Linked DNA regions of Sus scrofa. The protein of the gene in region 4 binds, or shares a complex with, the protein of the main gene of each other region. Links are inferred from orthologs where the notes say so. Each region holds a gene or a part of one and is shown on either strand. Other genes may lie near its edges.

The links.
Region 1: the proteins of CCDC114 (region 4) and CCDC151 are in contact, whole or in part, in a cryo-EM structure (PDB 9CPB), measured with the Bos taurus proteins. The link is inferred for Sus scrofa from reciprocal best matches to the Homo sapiens genes ODAD1 and ODAD3. Residues at the interface, in XP_024834988.1 of Bos taurus: Leu31, Gln32, Gln34, Cys35, Met38, Glu41, Arg42, Tyr45, Val49, Arg52, Ile53, Gln56, Leu57, Glu59, Ile60, Leu63, Glu64, Val66, Arg67, Leu70, Arg71, Gln73, Ile74, Ala77, Gln78, Asp86, Arg89, Leu90, Ser92, Met93; in NP_001095517.1 of Bos taurus: Gln69, Leu73, Lys76, Ile77, Leu79, Leu80, Asp83, Arg84, Phe87, Tyr88, Thr91, Asn94, Ile95, Asn98, Gln99, Thr101, Ile102, Leu105, Arg106, Glu108, Thr109, Leu112, Gln113, Gln115, Leu116, Leu119, Gly122, Asp123, Val126, Ala129.
Region 2: CCDC114 (region 4) and TTC25 share a complex: the UniProt entries of both Homo sapiens proteins name them as parts of the outer dynein arm-docking complex. The link is inferred for Sus scrofa from reciprocal best matches to the Homo sapiens genes ODAD1 and ODAD4.
Region 3: CCDC114 (region 4) and EFCAB1 share a complex: the UniProt entries of both Homo sapiens proteins name them as parts of the outer dynein arm-docking complex. The link is inferred for Sus scrofa from reciprocal best matches to the Homo sapiens genes ODAD1 and CLXN.

The regions. Positions count from the first base shown.
Region 1 is NC_010444.4:70,087,213-70,091,038, reverse strand, and holds the end of CCDC151 (coiled-coil domain-containing protein 151), read left to right. Parts: intron 1-675; coding exon 676-836; intron 837-923; coding exon 924-1,152; intron 1,153-1,719; coding exon 1,720-1,875; intron 1,876-2,318; coding exon 2,319-2,403; intron 2,404-2,552; coding exon 2,553-2,671; 3' UTR 2,672-2,920; downstream 2,921-3,826. Other genes in the region: RGL3 (ral guanine nucleotide dissociation stimulator-like 3), read left to right, coding at 3,442-3,474. UniProt on the Homo sapiens protein: Component of the outer dynein arm-docking complex (ODA-DC) that mediates outer dynein arms (ODA) binding onto the doublet microtubule. Involved in mediating assembly of both ODAs and their axonemal docking complex onto ciliary microtubules.
Region 2 is NC_010454.4:20,781,297-20,785,417, forward strand, and holds part of TTC25 (tetratricopeptide repeat protein 25), read right to left. Parts: intron 3,547-4,121; coding exon 3,322-3,546; intron 3,149-3,321; coding exon 2,941-3,148; intron 1-2,940. UniProt on the Homo sapiens protein: Component of the outer dynein arm-docking complex (ODA-DC) that mediates outer dynein arms (ODA) binding onto the doublet microtubule. Plays an essential role for the assembly of ODA-DC and for the docking of ODA in ciliary axoneme.
Region 3 is NC_010446.5:79,373,833-79,378,752, reverse strand, and holds the start of EFCAB1 (EF-hand calcium-binding domain-containing protein 1), read right to left. Parts: upstream 3,260-4,920; 5' UTR 3,085-3,259; coding exon 2,814-3,084; intron 2,054-2,813; exon of another isoform or gene 1-2,053. UniProt on the Homo sapiens protein: Component of the outer dynein arm-docking complex (ODA-DC) that mediates outer dynein arms (ODA) binding onto the doublet microtubule. Seems to regulate the assembly of both ODAs and their axonemal docking complex onto ciliary microtubules.
Region 4 is NC_010448.4:53,751,525-53,756,128, forward strand, and holds the start of CCDC114 (coiled-coil domain-containing protein 114), read right to left. Parts: upstream 2,985-4,604; 5' UTR 2,867-2,984; intron 2,459-2,866; exon of another isoform or gene 2,440-2,458; intron 2,190-2,439; exon of another isoform or gene 1,992-2,189; 5' UTR 1,590-1,991; coding exon 1,520-1,589; intron 1,484-1,519; exon of another isoform or gene 389-1,483; coding exon 289-388; intron 125-288; coding exon 1-124. UniProt on the Homo sapiens protein: Component of the outer dynein arm-docking complex (ODA-DC) that mediates outer dynein arms (ODA) binding onto the doublet microtubule. Involved in mediating assembly of both ODAs and their axonemal docking complex onto ciliary microtubules.

The DNA.
Region 1 (3,826 bases), on a different chromosome or scaffold from region 4:
AATCTATACCACAGCCATAGCAACACAGGATCTGAGACATGTCTACACCACAGCTCACAGCTACACTGGATCCTTAACCCACTGAGAAAGGCCATGGATTCCTTGAAATTTTCTAAGACCATAGGTCCCTGGCTGGAAAACACTGTGATTCCCCTGGACCTCTGTTGGGTTTCTCCACTTTGGGCACCCTCGAATCTATTACTCCTCCCATGGGCTGACTCACAAGGGGTTCCAGAACTTGGACCTATGGGGTCATCTGGAGCACTGTAGTTGAGCACCTTTCCAGAAGTTGGCCTAATGGGCAGATCTCTCTCACAACCCCTTCCTGGAGGGGGCAAGAGTTACTGCCAGAATGTTGCTGGCACTATAGACTTTGGAAAGTAGCTGTGCTTCACTGCTGTCGCTGCCCCACAATGTGATTTTGGCTGATTCAATTTCCTTATCTAGACAAGGAAGGGGCCGTAAAAAATCATTCGTCCGGGGTCGCACACCCTGGACGACTCATACCAGTCCGACTCACAGACTGGCCACCAGTCCGACTCACAGAGCGCCTGAACACCAGTGGGCAGAAGCCACCAGCTCAGGCCACCTGTCCTGTGTGTCCGGGGGAAAGGAAGAGGGGTACACCCATGCCTGCATAGGCCCTGGCTCTGATTTGGGCTGGGCGGCCCGCAGGCGGTGGTGCGGCGGTTCCTGGCACAGGGAGAAACCTTCACACAGTTGGAGACACTCAAGATCGAGAACGAGCAGATGCTGCTGAGGCTGAAGCAAGAGAAGCAGAGGCTGCAGAAGGAGCTGGAAGACCTCAAGTACTCAGGAGAGGCCATGCTGATGAGGTGAGGCCCGGGTGCCTCAGGGAGAGAGTGGTGCCTTGTTGGGGAAGTTCAGTACTGCTCCCATCTCAGACTGCCTTCTTCCTGCAGCGAACAGAAGCTGCAAGTCGAGTTGCAGGAGCGCATCAAGGCGGAGGAGCAGCGGCGTGCTGATGTGCAGGATAGGCTGGAGCGTACCATGCGGGCAATGCATATGACCAAGGAGGCCCTGGAACACCTGGCAAGCAAGCTAGACCACATCACAGTAGCAGACTCCGCCCCTGAGGAAGCTCCGCCCAGAGCCCCGCAGGACGTGAGAGGCAGCTCCACCATCACGCAGGTGGATTCCCGCCCCAAAGTCCACTCAAGAGAACCCACCCCATGCCCTGTCCAGTACATGAGAGGCCCGAACACAGGGGAAACTCCAACCTGCTCCTCAGAGTCCTCAGCCAGCGTCCAAGAGGAGACCCCCTTACTCCTCAAGAGGCCCAGGACTTCAGAGACCTTATCCCATTTCAAGTCCCGCCTCCACAGGAAAGTCCTACCTTGCCCCCCACACCCACCGAAGACTTAAGAGAACCCCCCCTCCAATCCTGGAGCAGCCACAGACAAGAGAAGTCCCACCCTGCCCACTGCAGAGTCCCATTTCTTCAGAAGGTCAGCCTGACAATGGCCTTCCTCCCACTAAAAGACTCATCCCCCTCCCATTACCCCCTGGCTTGGGTCTCTGGAGTTCAGAGGCCTTGCCTCACAAGCGTAGCCTTTGTTCATAAAGGGTAGCACCGCTCTTGTTAGTCACCCCTCACTTCAAAGGCCTTATCCCTAAGAGGAAAAGCCCCCTGCCTGGGTGAGACCTTTCCTGGAGGCCCCGTCCCTCCTGGCTGACAGAGCTCCGCCCCTGCCACAGGAGGCCAGCGGCTTCGCGGGAAAGGAGCTGGATCCCAAGGCAAGTGACTATTTGCCCAACCTACTGGGCCTCGTGGAGGAAAAATTGTTGAAGCTGCAGGCGAAACTCCAGAACCACAATGTGCCAGAGATGCTGCGCCACATTGCCGACCGAGAGGTGCTCATTCAGCCAGAGGGTGGGGCTGAGGATGCAGGGGCTGGGGCGGAAAACCAGGGAGTCAGGACCACACTTTGGAGACCAGGGAGGGGGCCAGTGGGCTGGGAATGGGCTTCAGGGACAACGGGTGAGGTTTAAGGAGCCCAGATTGAGCCAGGAGAGTTTCCTGAGGGCCCTGGCAGCCCAGAAGTCTGGGCTTGTGGGGTACAGGGGTCAGGCCAAGGGGTAGGACCTAGAGACTAGGGGCGGGCCTGAAGGTGGGGTGTTGCTGGGCATCAGAGTGAGCACTGGGAACAAATGATACGGCTGTGCCCAAGGAAAACTTTACAGGAGTGGGCAGAGGTGCTGAATGGGATTGGGGTGTATCTTGGGGGGTGGGGGAGATGCACTTCCCTGCAGCCCTGTGCATTCACACTCTTCTCTCCCGCTCCCACCTCCCCCAGTTCTTCTCCACCCTAGAGGGAAAGCTGCCTTCCTACAACACCCGCATCGCCCTGCCTCTTGCTGGTCACAAGGACAAGTTCTTCGGTCTGTCTGGGCAGGAAAAGGGGGTGGGACTGGGGGCCCTAGCAGAGCTTTGGGAGGTAGTCAGGGACCGGACCTAGGGCCAAGGTGGGGGTGGGAAGGGAAAGCTGAGTCACGAAGGGGAACCTTGATCCCCTCATCGCCCTTCGCAGACGAAGAGGAGAGTGAGGAGGAAGACAACGAGGTGGTGACCCGTGCAGCGCTCAAGATGCGTTCCCAGAAATTAATCGAATCCCGCAGCAAGAGGCGCGGTCGCTCTCGGAAGTCCTAGACGCGCCCTCGCGCCCACCTGGCGCTTCCGGGCCCCTGCGGAGCACCCCCACCCCAATCCCTCTGGGCCCAGCTGCGGGCCCAAAGGGGGGCCCCTTCAAGGGCTGATCGCAGCCCGCACAAGGGAGCCGACTGGGCGGGTGACGCGAGGAGTGGAGAAGGGGGCTGGGCCGCCGGATGTTCCCACAGTAAATCTCAGGCTGGTCCGCACCAGCCTCAGAATCGCGCAATAAAGGTCACCAACAAGCCCCCTGTGTATTCCCCTCTCCTTGATCCTGCACTGCCCCAAAGACAGCTACCCCTCAAACCCAGGACCACAGATTCAGCTCTCTCTGACCTGGGGAGTGATGACTTCCATCAGCTAGGGACACCACTGAGCTCACCCTGTCCCTCCAGAAAAATGGGAGATGCCTCCATACCTGGAGCAGACCAGCCCTCCCCATCTAAGGTCTCAAGTCTGTCCCCCACTTAGCTATACACACTCCCCCACACACCTAAGGACACAAAAAAAGAGCCTGCCCCTAGGAGAGAGAGAGGGGCCTTTCTCCCGGTGCAGAATACACACCTATCCGGAGAGCCCAGGCTTCTCCAGGGGCCTGGGCTGGGAGCTGGGGTCCCACAGGGATATCCGAGAGCCCTGGGTCCACCCCGCTCCGCCCCCGCGCGGCCCGGCCGCCCCGCCCAGCCGGCCCAACGCCCAGCCACTGCCCGCGACCCGCAGGCCCTTCCGCCTCACTCAGCCGCGTCGGCGGAGCGGGACGGTTGCGGATCATGGAGCGGACAGCGGGCAAGGAGCTCGCCCTGGTAAGGGGAGCTGGGGCTCCGGGGTCTCACATCCCTGGCGGCTACCAGGTCCAGAAACTCCAGGTTCCTGCCCCCCTGGACCCCTTCTCCCCTCAAATCAGACCCTTCGGATCCTCTCTGGACTCCATACCTCGGTCCTCTGGGCCCCTGACCCAGTGAAGTGGCTGGTTCCTCCTAGGGATGGTGGGGGAAGAGGAGTTAGTTCTCTGAGCACAGGAGGGACCAGAGACAGACTCTGTAAGACTGGACCCTGGGACATTCCCAAAAGCCACCCTTTCCAAGGACCAGGGAGGAGGGTACCCATGGCACCCAGGGGACTTCCCTAGCCTGGACCCCTGCCTGGACTCTCACC
Region 2 (4,121 bases), on a different chromosome or scaffold from region 4:
ACTAAGACACAATTACGGGACTGAGAAAGCGTCCAATCAACTCACCTATGGAGAATTCAGAGAAAGAAATGAGGGCTGGGGGCCCTCAAGAAGCTACTCAGACACGTCAGGCGTTGAGCTGCCCCTTGAAGGATGGTAGGCTTTGGGGGGGTGGGTGGCAGGCAGAGGTGGGGGAGGGGTGCTGATTCGACTGAGGGAGCAGGTGGGCCCACAGGTAAGACTCACAGGTATGACCGGGGGCCTGTGTGTCAACGTGGAAAAGGAACTAACATTGTTTCAGGAACACCTGGTTACCTAAATCAGTCACTGAGTGCACATTCATTTTAAGCCCAGCACGTGGCAGGTGTTGGGAAGAGAAAGGGAATTTACACGTCCACGGTCTAACAGGGCAGACAGGAAGCGGGTGGAGGGTGGAGAGGGAGCACAGCGGAGGGGCTGCTAAATCACTCTGGGGCGTATGGAAGGCTTTTCCCCAAGGCAAACACTTATTTACAATTGAAGAATGGGAGCTCCCTTTGTGGCTCAGTGGTTAGCGATCCTGACTAGGCTCCATGAGGTTGTGGGTTCGATCCCTGGCCTCCCTCAGGGGGTTAAGGATCCAGCAATGCCATGAGCTGTGGTGTAGGTCGCAGACGCGGCTTGGATCCGGAGTTACTGTGGCTGTGGTGTACGCCAGCGGCTACAGCTCTGATTGGACTCCTAGTCTGGGAACCTTCATAAGCTCTGAGTATGGCCCTAAAAAGCAAAAAAAAAAAAAAACCCAAAAAAACAAACAAAAAAAAAACAATTGAAGAATGGGCTGGGAAGGGATGGATGAAGAAAGGGCTGGAAAAAGAAGGCTGAGCAGAAGCAGAGCTGTGAGGTGCTGCTCAGGGGCCCAGAGAGGGCCATGTCAGCGGAGGTCAGGATTAGTTGGGTCAGGAAGTGTGGTCTGAGCTGAGCAGAACCGGTTGCTGGATGTCACCCACTGGGTTTGTTTTGCTTGCACAAAAGGGCCAGGTAGGTGGCCAGAAACCCAGGCCAGAAGAAAGACGCAAGCAGGGAGGAAGTCTGGGCTGAGCTGTGGGAGGGAAAGCAAAGGGAAGTGCTGCAGAGCAAGGGGACAGGCGGTGGCGGGCCAGACTTGGGGGACGGGTGTGCTGGCGGGGGCAGGGAGGGGAGGGGGTGTCCGGAAGCCATGTGGGCTCCTTCCTGGGCACTGAGCAGCCAACAGTGCCACCCTCATGGATAGGGAATGCCAGAGCAGGAGGTTGGGAAGAAAGGTGAGGGATTCCGCCTTGGACATGCTGAATTTGGGGTTCCTGTGGAATATCCAAGAGAAAGGCCTTGGAATCCACTGCACATGCGAGGGTGAAGCCTGGGAGGAATGGCAAGAAGATTTATACGTCTTTTAGGGCATGGGAGATAGTTAGATCCAAAGTACTGTATATACTTAGTTTATTTCACCCACAGAATTCTGTCAGCCAATACTATTATTGTTATTATTTTCTCTTTTGGTCGCCCCTCAACATATGGAATCCCCGGGTCAGGGATCAGAACCGAGCCCCAGGTGCAACCTATGCCACATCTGGAGCAATGTGGGATCCTTTAACCTGCTGTTCCAAGCCAGGGATCAAACCTGCGCCCTGGCACTGCAGAGATGCCACTGATCCCATTGCACTGCAATGGGAACTGAGGTTTTTTTGTGGGTTTTTTTTTTTTTTTTTTTTTTTTGCTTTTAAGGGCCGCACCTAGCCTATAGAAGTTCCTCAGGCTAGGTGTCGAATTGGAGCTGCAGCTGCTGGCCTATGCCAAAGCCACAGCAACCTGGGATCCTAGCCGTGTCTGCCACCTACACCACAGCTCAACGCCAGATCCTTAACCCACTGAGCAAGGCCAGGAATCAATCCTGCCACCTCATGCTTCTTAGATTCGTTTCCGCTGCTCCACAACAGGAACTCCCTAGGTTGGTATTATGAAGCCTTCATTAGAGATGAGGAAACGAGAAAGCAAGCAACTTAATCAAATCCACACAGCTTCTAAGTGCCAAAGGCAGGAATCAAAGTCAAGTCTGTCTCCAAAGCTGCTTGTCTGCTTGTTTTCTACTTCTGGAATGGCCAATACGTAAGACTCCTGCCCAGCACGGTGGAGGCAGGCGAGAAATGAAGTGGGAATGGACCAACAGCTTATAGGGCTCCTTGGAGCAAGGAAGAGAGGGCAGGAGGCAGGAATGTTCCGGACTTGACCTCAGAGGGCTGTAGGTCCAAGAGCACCCTTAGGCCAGGAAAACGCATTCGGTTTTAATCTGCAGGCAGTGAGGGACCAAGGCCTATTGTCAGCAAGGAAAAGAGAGCTGATGCGTGAAAAGCAGCGTGTCATGTGGGAGCAGCTGAGGCAGGGAGAGGAACGCGGGCGGACCTGAGTGGAAGCGGGGTGCTGGGAGACTGAGAGGGGCTCAGAACTGGGACCTGGGTAGAATTGAGCAGGAGCCAGTCACAGCCCCAGTCACCCACACCCCGTCAGGCCCTCCTGGAGGGCGCTTCTCCGCACTGTGTCCTGGACTTTTTCCCCATGACACTGAACGCAACTGTGACCTTGCTTTGTTTTACATCTGCAAGGAAATGAAGTTTGTATCTGGTCACCACTGTGTTCCCAATGCCAGCAGCACCTGGCATGTCTGGACTTGATAAATACTTGTTGAGGTGATAAAAAAAAAAATATTCCTAAGAGCCAAACCACTGGGAGCTTTTTGGAGTTTGGGGCCACTACCTTCCTCTTTGTGGCAAAAAAGCTGACCGCCCAGGTGTCCCTTTGTCCTAGGGGGGTGGCTACTCCCTCCAGGGGAATCCACCTCAGGCATGCAGGGCAGAAAGCAGGCGCTCAGACACTAGCAGCCCCAGCCCGGGCCTCAGTGACGCCCACAGGCCTTGCGCTTGGCCTTCAAGCAGTCGCGGGACTCACTATTCCTTGGCGATCTCCAGGTCCTTCCTGTGGCTCTGCAGGGCTGCCACCATCTGCCCCAGCTCCATTTGGGCGTTCCCTATGCAGCTGTACAAGTTTCCCAACAGTTCATCCTTGTTGGGCACCTCCTCTTTGCTCCATTCCAGAACCTTCTTCAGCACTTTCTCAGCTTTCTGAAGGCTGCCTTCAGCACTGCCACTGGTTAGCACTGGGAAGGGAAAGAGGTGATGTGGCGCAGGGAGCAGCCACCCCACCGGCTGACGGGAGAGCCCACCTCCCCGCCAGAGACCACCCACAGGCCAGCGAAGCCAGGGGCTCAGGCTGCTCCGTGGCTCCGACCCCACCTGGCCCAGGACCCACTCTTCTGAGGCCACCACCCACACATGTCAATGTCCTCCAGGCTCTTGAGGATGTAGTGGGCTGTCTGCGAGGGGCGGCGTTTGCGGTCCCGCAGCCACTTCTCTTGCATCAGCTTCCGGTCCCGCTCCCGGGCGTAGATGGGCTTCTGCTGCCTCCAGAAGTTACTGCGAGTGTCCAGGTAGTTGATGCCTGTCATGATGAGGTCCTCCACAGTCAGGCCGTGCTTGATGGTGCCTCTTATCAAGTCTGTGGGGAAGGGTGTGGGAGGAACCAACTAGAACAGGCATCAATGGGAGTCGCGGCCCCTCGGCTAAGGGTCTCCTGGTGGGGACCTCTATCCGGGGACTGAGGAACAGCAATGAAAGCAAGAGCACAGGGGTGGAAAAGTGGGTCTGTCTGGGTCCAGATGAGGCCAGAGCCCCCCTTTCAGCCCCCACGGTACAGGCCCCTTATGGCAAGACTAACAAAAGGGGCAACTGGGAGGTCTGTGGTGGCGCAGCGGGTTAAGGATCTGGCATTGTCACTGCTGTGGCACAGGTTCAATCCCTGGTCCAGGAACTTGTGCATGCCACAAGTGCAGCCAAAAAAAGTGGGGGGGCAGGTGGTAGATAGTTTTCTGAAAAGGCCCCGTCCTTGGGACCCCCTTATTTCAAGCGGTGTGCTCAGAGAAGACGGAGTATAAATGTACAACCTGGCCCAGGTTGCCAGAGCCAAGAGAGTCCACACATGCCAAGTGGGCCAGTGTCAGCTGGTAGCTGACGGCCCATGAGGCATGCCCCGAGCTCTGCCCATCTGCCTGACCAGGGATTAGAGCCGGAACA
Region 3 (4,920 bases), on a different chromosome or scaffold from region 4:
GCAGTCTCACTGCGAGGGCCAGCCTGGGGCGCTGGGGCCGCTTTCTGACTGTGACGTCCGGGCTGACTTTCCAGGTGTAGCTGGTTAGGGTTCACAGCCCCATGCCTGACCGCACCCTGGGTCCCCGAGGTCTCATCTTTGGTGCGTGCGGCCACTGCTCTGCAGAAGCAGAAGGGCGGGCGAGGGACTTGCTCTCAGTCCTTTTCCTCTGATGTCAGGTGGGAGTCCGCAAGGAGTTATCTTCCAGTTTTGGGTGATGTTATTGAGATCAAAAGGAACTTGGAATAGTTGTTTGTTTTCCCCTCATTCATTCTTGAGGTGGGGGTGGAGGCTGTCAGTGGAGTCTGGAGAAAACCCCTGGCGATTTTTAAGCTGGTTAAAGAGGCACCCTCCCAAACGAAGGCAAGCTGATAACTGACACTAGCTTTGGGATACAGCCTGACCTTGCTTTCCTGGAAAATATCCCGGTAAAACGGATCCTTTAGTTATTTGAAAGACAGTTTCTGTGACTGCAAACAAAGGGTAGTCTTCACATCTTTAAGAGGACCTTCTGTTCTGAACACAGATGAGACACCCACCCTCTTTGAATTAGAACCGCAAAAACATGGGTTAGCTTCGTCTTGAGCACAAAACCTAGAATATTCTGCAACGTGTCACTTGTTGAGCCTCGGAAATGAGATACAAATTGTTATTTGTCTTTTATAAAATAATGCAAGTTATTTTATAGTACATGTACTGTCATTGTTAAACTGAAAGTAGAAAAATTCTGCCAACCGTTAACACCCAACTGAGGTTTTTGACTTTCTTTCCATGTTCCATTTGTTTGTTGAATGGAGGGTTGGGATGCTGTTTGAAATCAAGGTGAGGATGCTTGGTGAAGGCAGGACCTGTATGATCCTAAAGCAAATTCCCTGAGAACAGTTAACTGATATGAAATGATAGTGATGGGATTGTAGGGAACAAATGGGGGAGGGATCAACCTCATACACTCACCCCAAAACCTGGGTGACTCCTGTCAGATGACAGAGCCGAGGCAAACCTTTAGTGAACCGCTGTAGGGCTCCTTCTAAACACAAGCAACTTGAAGATTAGTGGTCACTGGTCAATAAGAGAAGCTGTGAGCCCCTCCTCTCCTACCAGGTGCGCCAAAGGGACACCACAGGTGGGAGTCCCTCATGGGCAGGTGCCTCGGCAGACAAACACTGCGAGGTCCTTGTGCACCAGGGCCAGCAGCTCTGGCTCTGTTCTTCCTTCACAAGCTTCAGGCCTACCCCCCCTCCCCCAGCCCCATTCCCTTAAAGTGGAAAAGCCGAGGAAGGGCTGGTAGAAGTCAAATCTACCAGCAAAAGTCCCGAGCCTACTGAGAAGCCTTGGTGGGCTCCCCCACCAACCATGTCTTTCCTCCATATTGTCCTTTTAGCCAAATCTTCACAAAGGTGTGGTGGCATCTGTCACTTCTCTGAGCATGGGCTGAGCTCTGGCCTCACTGCAGGTCTGGCAAACCTTTCTCAGGGAGGCAGGTATTTATTAGGGGTGGGTTTTGTCAACATACCGGCAAACTTCAGAGCGTTCACTGCATTCTTGGGACGTTTTCAGGTTTGTATATTCAGACTTTAGAATGAGCCGTGGGCCTGCAGGAGTGTGCTGAGCGTACCTCAAGGCCTGTTGTAATTTCTGTTTGTAGGTTTTGTGGCCTGTGCAGAGTAGACGCAGGTTTTTGTCCCAAGGGCTTTTCTGAGTGAGGCAACTAAGCCTGAACAGTTAGCTCAGATCAAATCAGTCAGCAATTGAATAATCAAAAACTGCTTAATCTGGGCCCTGCTGGAAACACAGAACTTCTCAAAGTTCACGCAGCCCCGAGGGGGTTACTTTTGTGAGTACAAAGTGCATGAAAGTGACTGTGAGAGCTGTCAATGCTAAATTCTGTGTGCAGAGCAGTTTTCTCTTGGGCTCCCAATTCACTGGACTTTCACCATGATAAACAGCTGGGATTCTCAAGGTGAAGAAACTGTTTCACTTAGTGTGGACATTTTATGAGGGAGGCCCTTGGAAGCTGTGTAGGAAATGACATCATAGAGTTGGTTTCCAAGTAACTTACAGATCTATTATGAAAGGACTTTAATAAGAGGAAAAGATAAAGCTTAGTTATCTGCATAAATTACTTTGAGTTGGACCAGTGCTATCCTGTAGGGATAGTGGTGAGCATTCTGGGGTGACTTTAGCCAGCCTGGTCTCTCACCACTTTCTCTCCCCTGATGCTCCTCAGCCCCTCCAGCAGCACTGGGCTGCCCCCCTGCCTGCCCCCCAGGGCCTCTGTCTGCCCTTCACCCCATCCCCACAGGCAGGTCTGTGGAGAGTTTCTAGCTCCATTAGTCAGTCCCTCCTTTTCTCACTCTCACCTGGGGACCAGCTGACCCTCCTGGCTTCACAGAGCTGACCACTGTAGCCAAAGGACACTGCCAGGATCTTCCCACTGCCTGTTCGGTCATGGCCCCGAGCCTGGCTCTGGCTGCTGTGCTGTCCATAGAACTGCCCAAGGGACAAGGCACCCACCCCTTTCTGAGGGGGCCAGAGGGAGAGACAACCGCCTGGCAGTGATCCTGATCCTCTGTGTGGTCACAGGTTTATCCTCAGGCCAGCCTGGTTCTTCCTGGACATCAAAGGCTGCCTGGACCAGGCCCTTCCACCCACACTCCCCATTCCATCGTCTTGGAGTTGCCTCCTCCCTCCACACATTCCTGCTTCCCCACCCCCCCTCCTTTCCTGAGCCCCAGTCTCTCCAACCCCATCAGCTGTGCAACAGCCCCTTTTACCTGTGAACATTTGCTGAACTTGCCTTCTGTGTACAGAGCTTCTCTCCATCTTTCTTCTTGGAAGCCTGCATCCTCCTGAAGATGCTCTCCAGAGGAGGCTGCCCATCTCCTCATTCCTGCTCAGGCACAGCCAGAAGGAAGTCACTGTCATCATGACCCCATGTCTCCTTTTCAGGACCCCATCGGCTCTGCCCTTTCCTCTCACCCACCTTCTCAGGGTGTAGGTAATGCACACGCTCACTGCCACACAGTCCATGCTCTGCTCCTGCATCCGCCGGGAAGCTGCTCATGGGATTTCAGTGTGATGTAGCTAAAACACTGGTCAGTCATGTCGTCCTTCTGCTTAATGTTGAAATGCCTTCTCAGTGCCTGCGAGAAAAACTCCAAGCCAGGAAGCGTGGTTTCCATGGTTCTCAAAGATTTGCCCCTGCCTGGCTTGCATTTCATTTCATATGAGTTTTAGAATAAGCTTGTCAGTTTGTCCTCAAAAAAGGTCGTGCTGAGGTGTTGATTGGGGTTGCATCATATCTATGTAGCAATTTGGGGAGAACCGATGTCTTCATGGTATTGATTTTTTCTGATCCATGAACATGGTATATCTCTCCATTTCTTTAGGTCTTTGTTAGTTTTTCTCAGCATTGCTTTGAGGTTTTAAGTGTACATAGCTGAGCATCAATTTTTACATAAGTTTTTTTTTTTTTTTTTTTTTTTTTTTTTTTTTTTTTTTTTTTTTTTTTGCCATACTCTCAGTGTGTGTAAGTTCCTGGGCCAGGGATAGGACCAGAGCCACAGGAGTTACAACACTGGATCCTTAATCTGCTGATCCATGAGGGAACTTACTTATAAGTTTGGGTTTTTTTTGTTTTGTTTTGTTTTGTTTTTTAGGGCTGCGAGTGTGGCTTATGGAAGGCCCTAGGCTAGGGGTTGAATCAGAGCTATACCTGTGCCACAGTCACAGCAGTGTGGGACCCAAGCCATGTCTGCAACCTGTACCACAGCTCACGGCAACGCCAGATCCCCGACCCACTGAGCGAGGTCAGGGATTGAACCTTCATCTTCATGGATACTAGTTGGATTTGTTTCTGATGCGCCACAACGGGAACTCCCACTTATAAGTATTTTTGATGCTAATATAAAAGCAATATTTAATATGTGATAGTACATAAAATGTAATTGATATTTGCATGTTGCTTTTGTATGCTGGGACCATACTAAACTCATATACTACTTCTATTAGATTTTTTTATAATTATTTAAGATTTTCTATAGCAATGATAATGTTCTTTACAAATAAAGACATTTTTACTTATTTTCCAATCTTCCTTTAATGGTGAAATATTGGGCACTTTCTCTCCAACACGGGGAATGAAGAAAGGGTTCCCGCTTTTGCATTACATGTTCAGCATGATGTTGAAGAGAAGTGTAAGAGCGGAAACCCTTGCTTTGTTTCCTGCACTGGAGGGAATGCACCCAGTAGTTCACCATCATGTGTGGTGTCAGCTGTGCATTTCTCACAGATGCCCTGTGTCAGCTGAGGGAGTTGTGTCTGTCCCACATTTCCTGTTGTGTTTGTCACGCGTGGTTGTTGCGTTTTTACTATTCACCCAGCCCTCCCCCTACTGGTCGTGGCACAGGCATCTCTCTGGTAGATGAGGGCTGCACGTCACAGAAAACACCAGCAAACCTGGATGCCTGTCTTCAAGGAGAGTCAGCAACTCAGAGCTCACCCTGGCCCTTAGTGTTTGTAGTCCCCACAGTGCTCTGAGCAGCGAGCATCAGTGCAGGGGACCCAACATCACATCCTCCTCATTGTGAATCATTGGCTAAGTTTCTTAACATTTCAAGGCTCTATTTTTATAAAATTGACTACATTACTGATGTCCACCTTGAATTAAATTCCTCACTCAAGTATTCTGCCTGTAAATGACTCACTCACTTCATTTCATATCTGGTTTTCTACCTATAGTCTTACACAGTGGTTTTTATTTTGTTTTTTCATTTTGGTCAAAGCTTCACAGTTATTCAACAAAATGGTCTTCTTATTGACTACCACCTGCCGTTTGAGAATGTACTTTCTTTGGCATCTCTGTTATTTGGAGACTCACAG
Region 4 (4,604 bases):
CTTGAGCAGGTGACCCATGTTCTCCAGCCTCTCGCTGTCCCGCAGCCGCTTGACCTGGCTCTGGGCAATGCTGATCTGCACCTGCAACTTGTCCCGCACCCCCTCCAGGCGCTGGATTTCCCCGCTGCCCAGACAGGGAAGTGGAGGGAAGGCAGGAAAGGGGCAGAGCTCAGCATCACTAACGTCCTGACATTCTGGGCCTGCCCTTTGGCCACAGCCCCGGGAACCCAGCCCCCAGCCTCATTAACAGCCCATCCCCAGCTCTAGGGACCCAGGCGCCTGGCTCACAGTTGCTTGTTGATGCGCTGGTGGACTTCCTTGCTGTAGGCTCGCCTTTCACCCTCCATCACTTTGCATTGCCGCTGCAGTCTGCTCAGCTCCCAATCCACTGAGGCAGGACGAAGCCAGGGACTCAGGAGGAACCCAGCTCCCAGGCCCTTCCTCCCCAGGACCTAGGAATTTTGGCTCTGCAACGAAACTGCAGGCTCAGTTGCCAGCACCATTCTAGGGCTGCATCTCAGTTTCTGTATCCCCAGGCTTCCTCACCCCTTCATACTCCCTGCACTGCAAGCTGACTTCCCCATTTTTTCCCTAAAACCACTCCTGCCGCAGATGGTTGCATACAACTGTCTCCCCACTAGAGGGCACTCCTGGAGGCCTCACAGTCCTCAGGGACCAAAGCACCAACCTGGCACTTGGGAAAGCTGAGGACAGGAGCCTAGGCCCCCAGAGGCACCACTCTCCTTCCCTCCCTTCCTTTCTGCCCCAACACCCACCCAGCAGTGCTAATTCCCACCCTCCTGCCTCCTCATCCTCAGCCCATCCCCTAGGTTCAGGCCTCATTCTCTCTCCCTGAACCATCATTACCCCCTCCTCCTCTTCAACCTGCCGGCCTTTCCTCACAGCCACAGAAGCCCTAGACCCAGGACTCACCCTGGACAAAGTCCCAGCTCCCCAGCCTGGTGTTCGAGGCCCCACAAACCCAATCCTACCCACCGCTCCAGGCTCTCCACCATTTCCCCATCTCCCAGCCGTTCTCAACCAGGAGCAATTCTACCCCCTAAGGACATTTGGCCATGTCTGGAGACATTTTTGACTGTGCAGGCATGGATTGCGGGTGCTTCTGGTGTGCAGCAGGGGGGGGGGCGGGGGCGCAGGGATGCACCTAGTACCCTCCAATGCCCAGGACGCCCCCACCCATAGCAAAGAACGTTCTGACCCCAGGTGTCAACGGTGTGGAGGCGGAAGAACCTTGCTTTGGTCACATGCTGTTCTTTCTGCTCACTCTTCCCTTCCTTCTCCTGGTGGAAATTCCTGGGAGCAGTTCTGGGCCCCACTCAAACGTCTCCTCCTACAGGAAGTCTTCCTGGCCATCCCACTCCCCAGGCTTGGGCTACTATCTGCTCCCCGCCTCCACAGGGCTGTCCTGAAAAGCCTCCCCATCCACGGGGCCCCAGCTGCACAGGACCTGAAACAGGACAAACTGAGGGAAAGAATGAATCAAGAATGTACGAATTACCCATTCCCTCCAAGAAGGCCTCGCTTCCATCTTCGGAGCGGGTGCTCCCAGCAGAGAGTCCCAAAGGCATCTTGGCCAAAGAGGACCCCTTCAGGAGGCGAGCAGGAGAGGGCTAGGAGGGTGGGTGATGAAAGGCAAAAGGCTAGGAACTGATCCCAGAACCAGCTCTGGCCTCTCTTTGGGTCGCAATCCCTCCAGCGGGTTGGAGGGGGCATCTCTCAGGCCTCTTGCCATGCCCCTCCCGACCTCCCACCTCTCACACTCTCTGTCTTGCGTCGCGGCTCTGATTCTGGCGCGGGGGACAGGTCCTCTAGGCTCTCGGTATCTCTGATGGGGGCGGTTTGGGGAGGCGGCTCACAGAGGAAGGAGAACCACCCCACCCCCGTCGGCTGAGGGGAGCGAGGCCGGTCCCTACCTGCCGGAGTGCTGGACCTGTCCTGGGTACTCCAAGCTCAGTGTTGTGGTCTGGTTACTGGGGAGATAAGAGACCAATGAGGCCTGGGGACAGCAGCCGGGGAGGGACCAAGGCCACAGAAGAAAGCCGTGGGAGGGGCGGCTGGGGAGGAGGGGCTAGGAGGCCGCGAGGAGACCTGCGGGGAGCTCGGGTGCTGTGAACAGATGTGCTAGGGGAGCCCAGCAAGCGGCGGGACTGGAGGGCTGAGGGGGCGGGGCTCTAGGCCTTACGAGGGGCGGGGCTGGAGGCCTTGCGAGGGGCGGAGCCGTAGAGGCCTACGATGGGCGGGGCTGGAAGGGCCTCTGAGGCGAGGCCGGCCTGAGGGTGTGGGCTTCAGGGCTTGCGAAGGAAGGGCAGGGCTGGAGGGGCCCAAGAGGGTTGTGGCTGGGGGACCTTGTGAAGGCAGGGACGCAGATACCGGTGCAGGGCGGAGCTTCGGGGCCCTGAGGGAGGGGTGCAAGGATACCTGTAAAGGGCGTGGCTGCGGGCCTTGTGAAGGGTGGGGCTTCGGGGGCTGGTGAGGGGCGTGGTTGGAAGAACACGTGAGGGGCCTGGTGGGAGGGCGCAGGAAGTACGCGGATTCCAGAGCTTGTGGTAGACAGGGCTAACTAGGAGGCACTCAGGCTTGGAAAGCTTGGGGGAGGTCCTGATGGTCTGTTGGGGTCGTCAGGGGCGCGATGTGTGTTTCCGGGAGGGGATATCTGAGCCAAAGGAGTCTGTGGAGGCGGGGCTGGGAGGGAAACGTCTGGAAGGTTTTGGAGCTGGGCCAAGGTGTTTCGGGATGGGGCGCGAGAGATGCGCGTCTTCAGATGATTAAGATCACGTTATTTTGAGGATTCATTAGCAAGGTGGCGGTGCCGATGCTGGGAGTTGCTAGGGGAAGGAGCGCTCACCACTGCCTCAGGTCCTCGAAGCGGCGCACTACGCATGCGCGGCCAACGGCCTCGGGAAAGGCAGCCAAAACCCCTCAACCACTTAAGAGGTCCGCGCACTGAGAGGCGGAAGTGGGCGGGGTCTAGGGCGCTCTGTGTTGTCCCGCTTTCCGGCCCCGCCCTGTGGTCACGCCCCCTCGCGCCACAGGGCACGCCCCCTTGACGGCAGGCTGCTGCCCACGTGGGCCTCCTCCAAGCGGGAGGGCAGTGGGCGCAGCTCCCTGCAGGCTGGGTGTGTCTGACGCCTGCGGTTTCCTGTGGGAGGAAGCGACCCGCTGGCGCTCAGCTCGTGGCCTTGGAGGCCCAGATAGGGGAGATCCCACCACGAGTCCCTTGAGTTTCCCCCCTTCTACAGGATCCTAGCATGGGGGACCCCCGCCTGGAACATCCCCAGGGTACCCAACTCCGGCGCTGATTCCACTCAGGGAACTTGATTCAGAGGTCTAGCCTCCTGTTCTCCACTTCCTCCCGCTCAGATTTTCATTTCCCTAGCCCCTGGTTCCCAGACTCCTCCCAGGACCCAGGTCCAATCCAATTTACCTCCACTCCAGGAAGAGCATGGGATCTCAGGTCTCATGTTTCCTCCAGTGACCCAGACTTTCTAACTTATTCAGGGCCTGAGTTCAGACCCCCAGTCTCTGTTCTTCTCCAAGATGTAAGATGGAACTACTTATCCCCCCCCCATTTTATTTAGTATTTTCATTTTGTACTCCCAACTTTTTAGCCTTGGGCCCAATGGACCCAAGAATTTGCCACTTCCCCAAATCCTAGAGACCTTGATCTCAGGTCTCCCAGTACTGAATCCACTCAGAGCCCCAATGACTAGCATCACAAGCACTTACCACAGTGCTTACTATGTGCCAGTCACTCCTCTAAGAACTGCTCTGTGATGTATTTACTATTATTATACCTATTTTACAGACAGAAACTGAGGCATAGCAAAATTAGTAACTTGCCCCCAAATCACAGTTAATGAGTCAAGCAGCTTTTATTTGAATCTAGCCAGTGTGTCTCTATAGAGTCTGTGCTACAGTGGTACCCAGCTTCCAGGTCTCCCGGGTTACTGGACCGCCCCTCCCTCACACCTTCAAGGAGCCCAGATGACCAGCTGCTTTCGGTCTTCTAGTTGTGGCCCCATCATATACCCAGACATCCCCTCATCCAGTTCCCTTCCCTTGGAGGGACCCAGGATTTTCAGTTCTCCAGCTTTCACTCCACATCAGAACCCCAGGCACCTAGTTCCCTTGTCCTTGCCAACACCCAGGTACACCCAACAGCACCCAAGCCTGCCAAGAGACCCAGGTACATAGTGGTCATCACCTCCCATCCCAGCACAGTAACCCAAGAATAAATAATAATAATATCATTATTATTATAGTTTACATTAAGTCCCTGGTACTGCACTTCTGTTTAAAACCCTCCAATGGTTTCCCACTGCACTTAGAATAAAATCCAAACTCCTCCTCTGGGCTTCAAGGGCCTCTTTGATTTCCCTTCCTACCACTCCCTCTAGCTCCCTACGTTCTAGCCACACTGGCCCTTCTGTCTGCTCCCCAAACAACCTGAGCTTGTTCTCAAAGGCCTGTGCACTTCCTCCCCCCACCCCCCGCCAGCATTCAAATGACTCCTGCCTTCAAGTCTCAGCTTAGATGTCACCTTCTCAGAGAAGCCTTGCCTGATCACCCTTATTTTTCTTTAT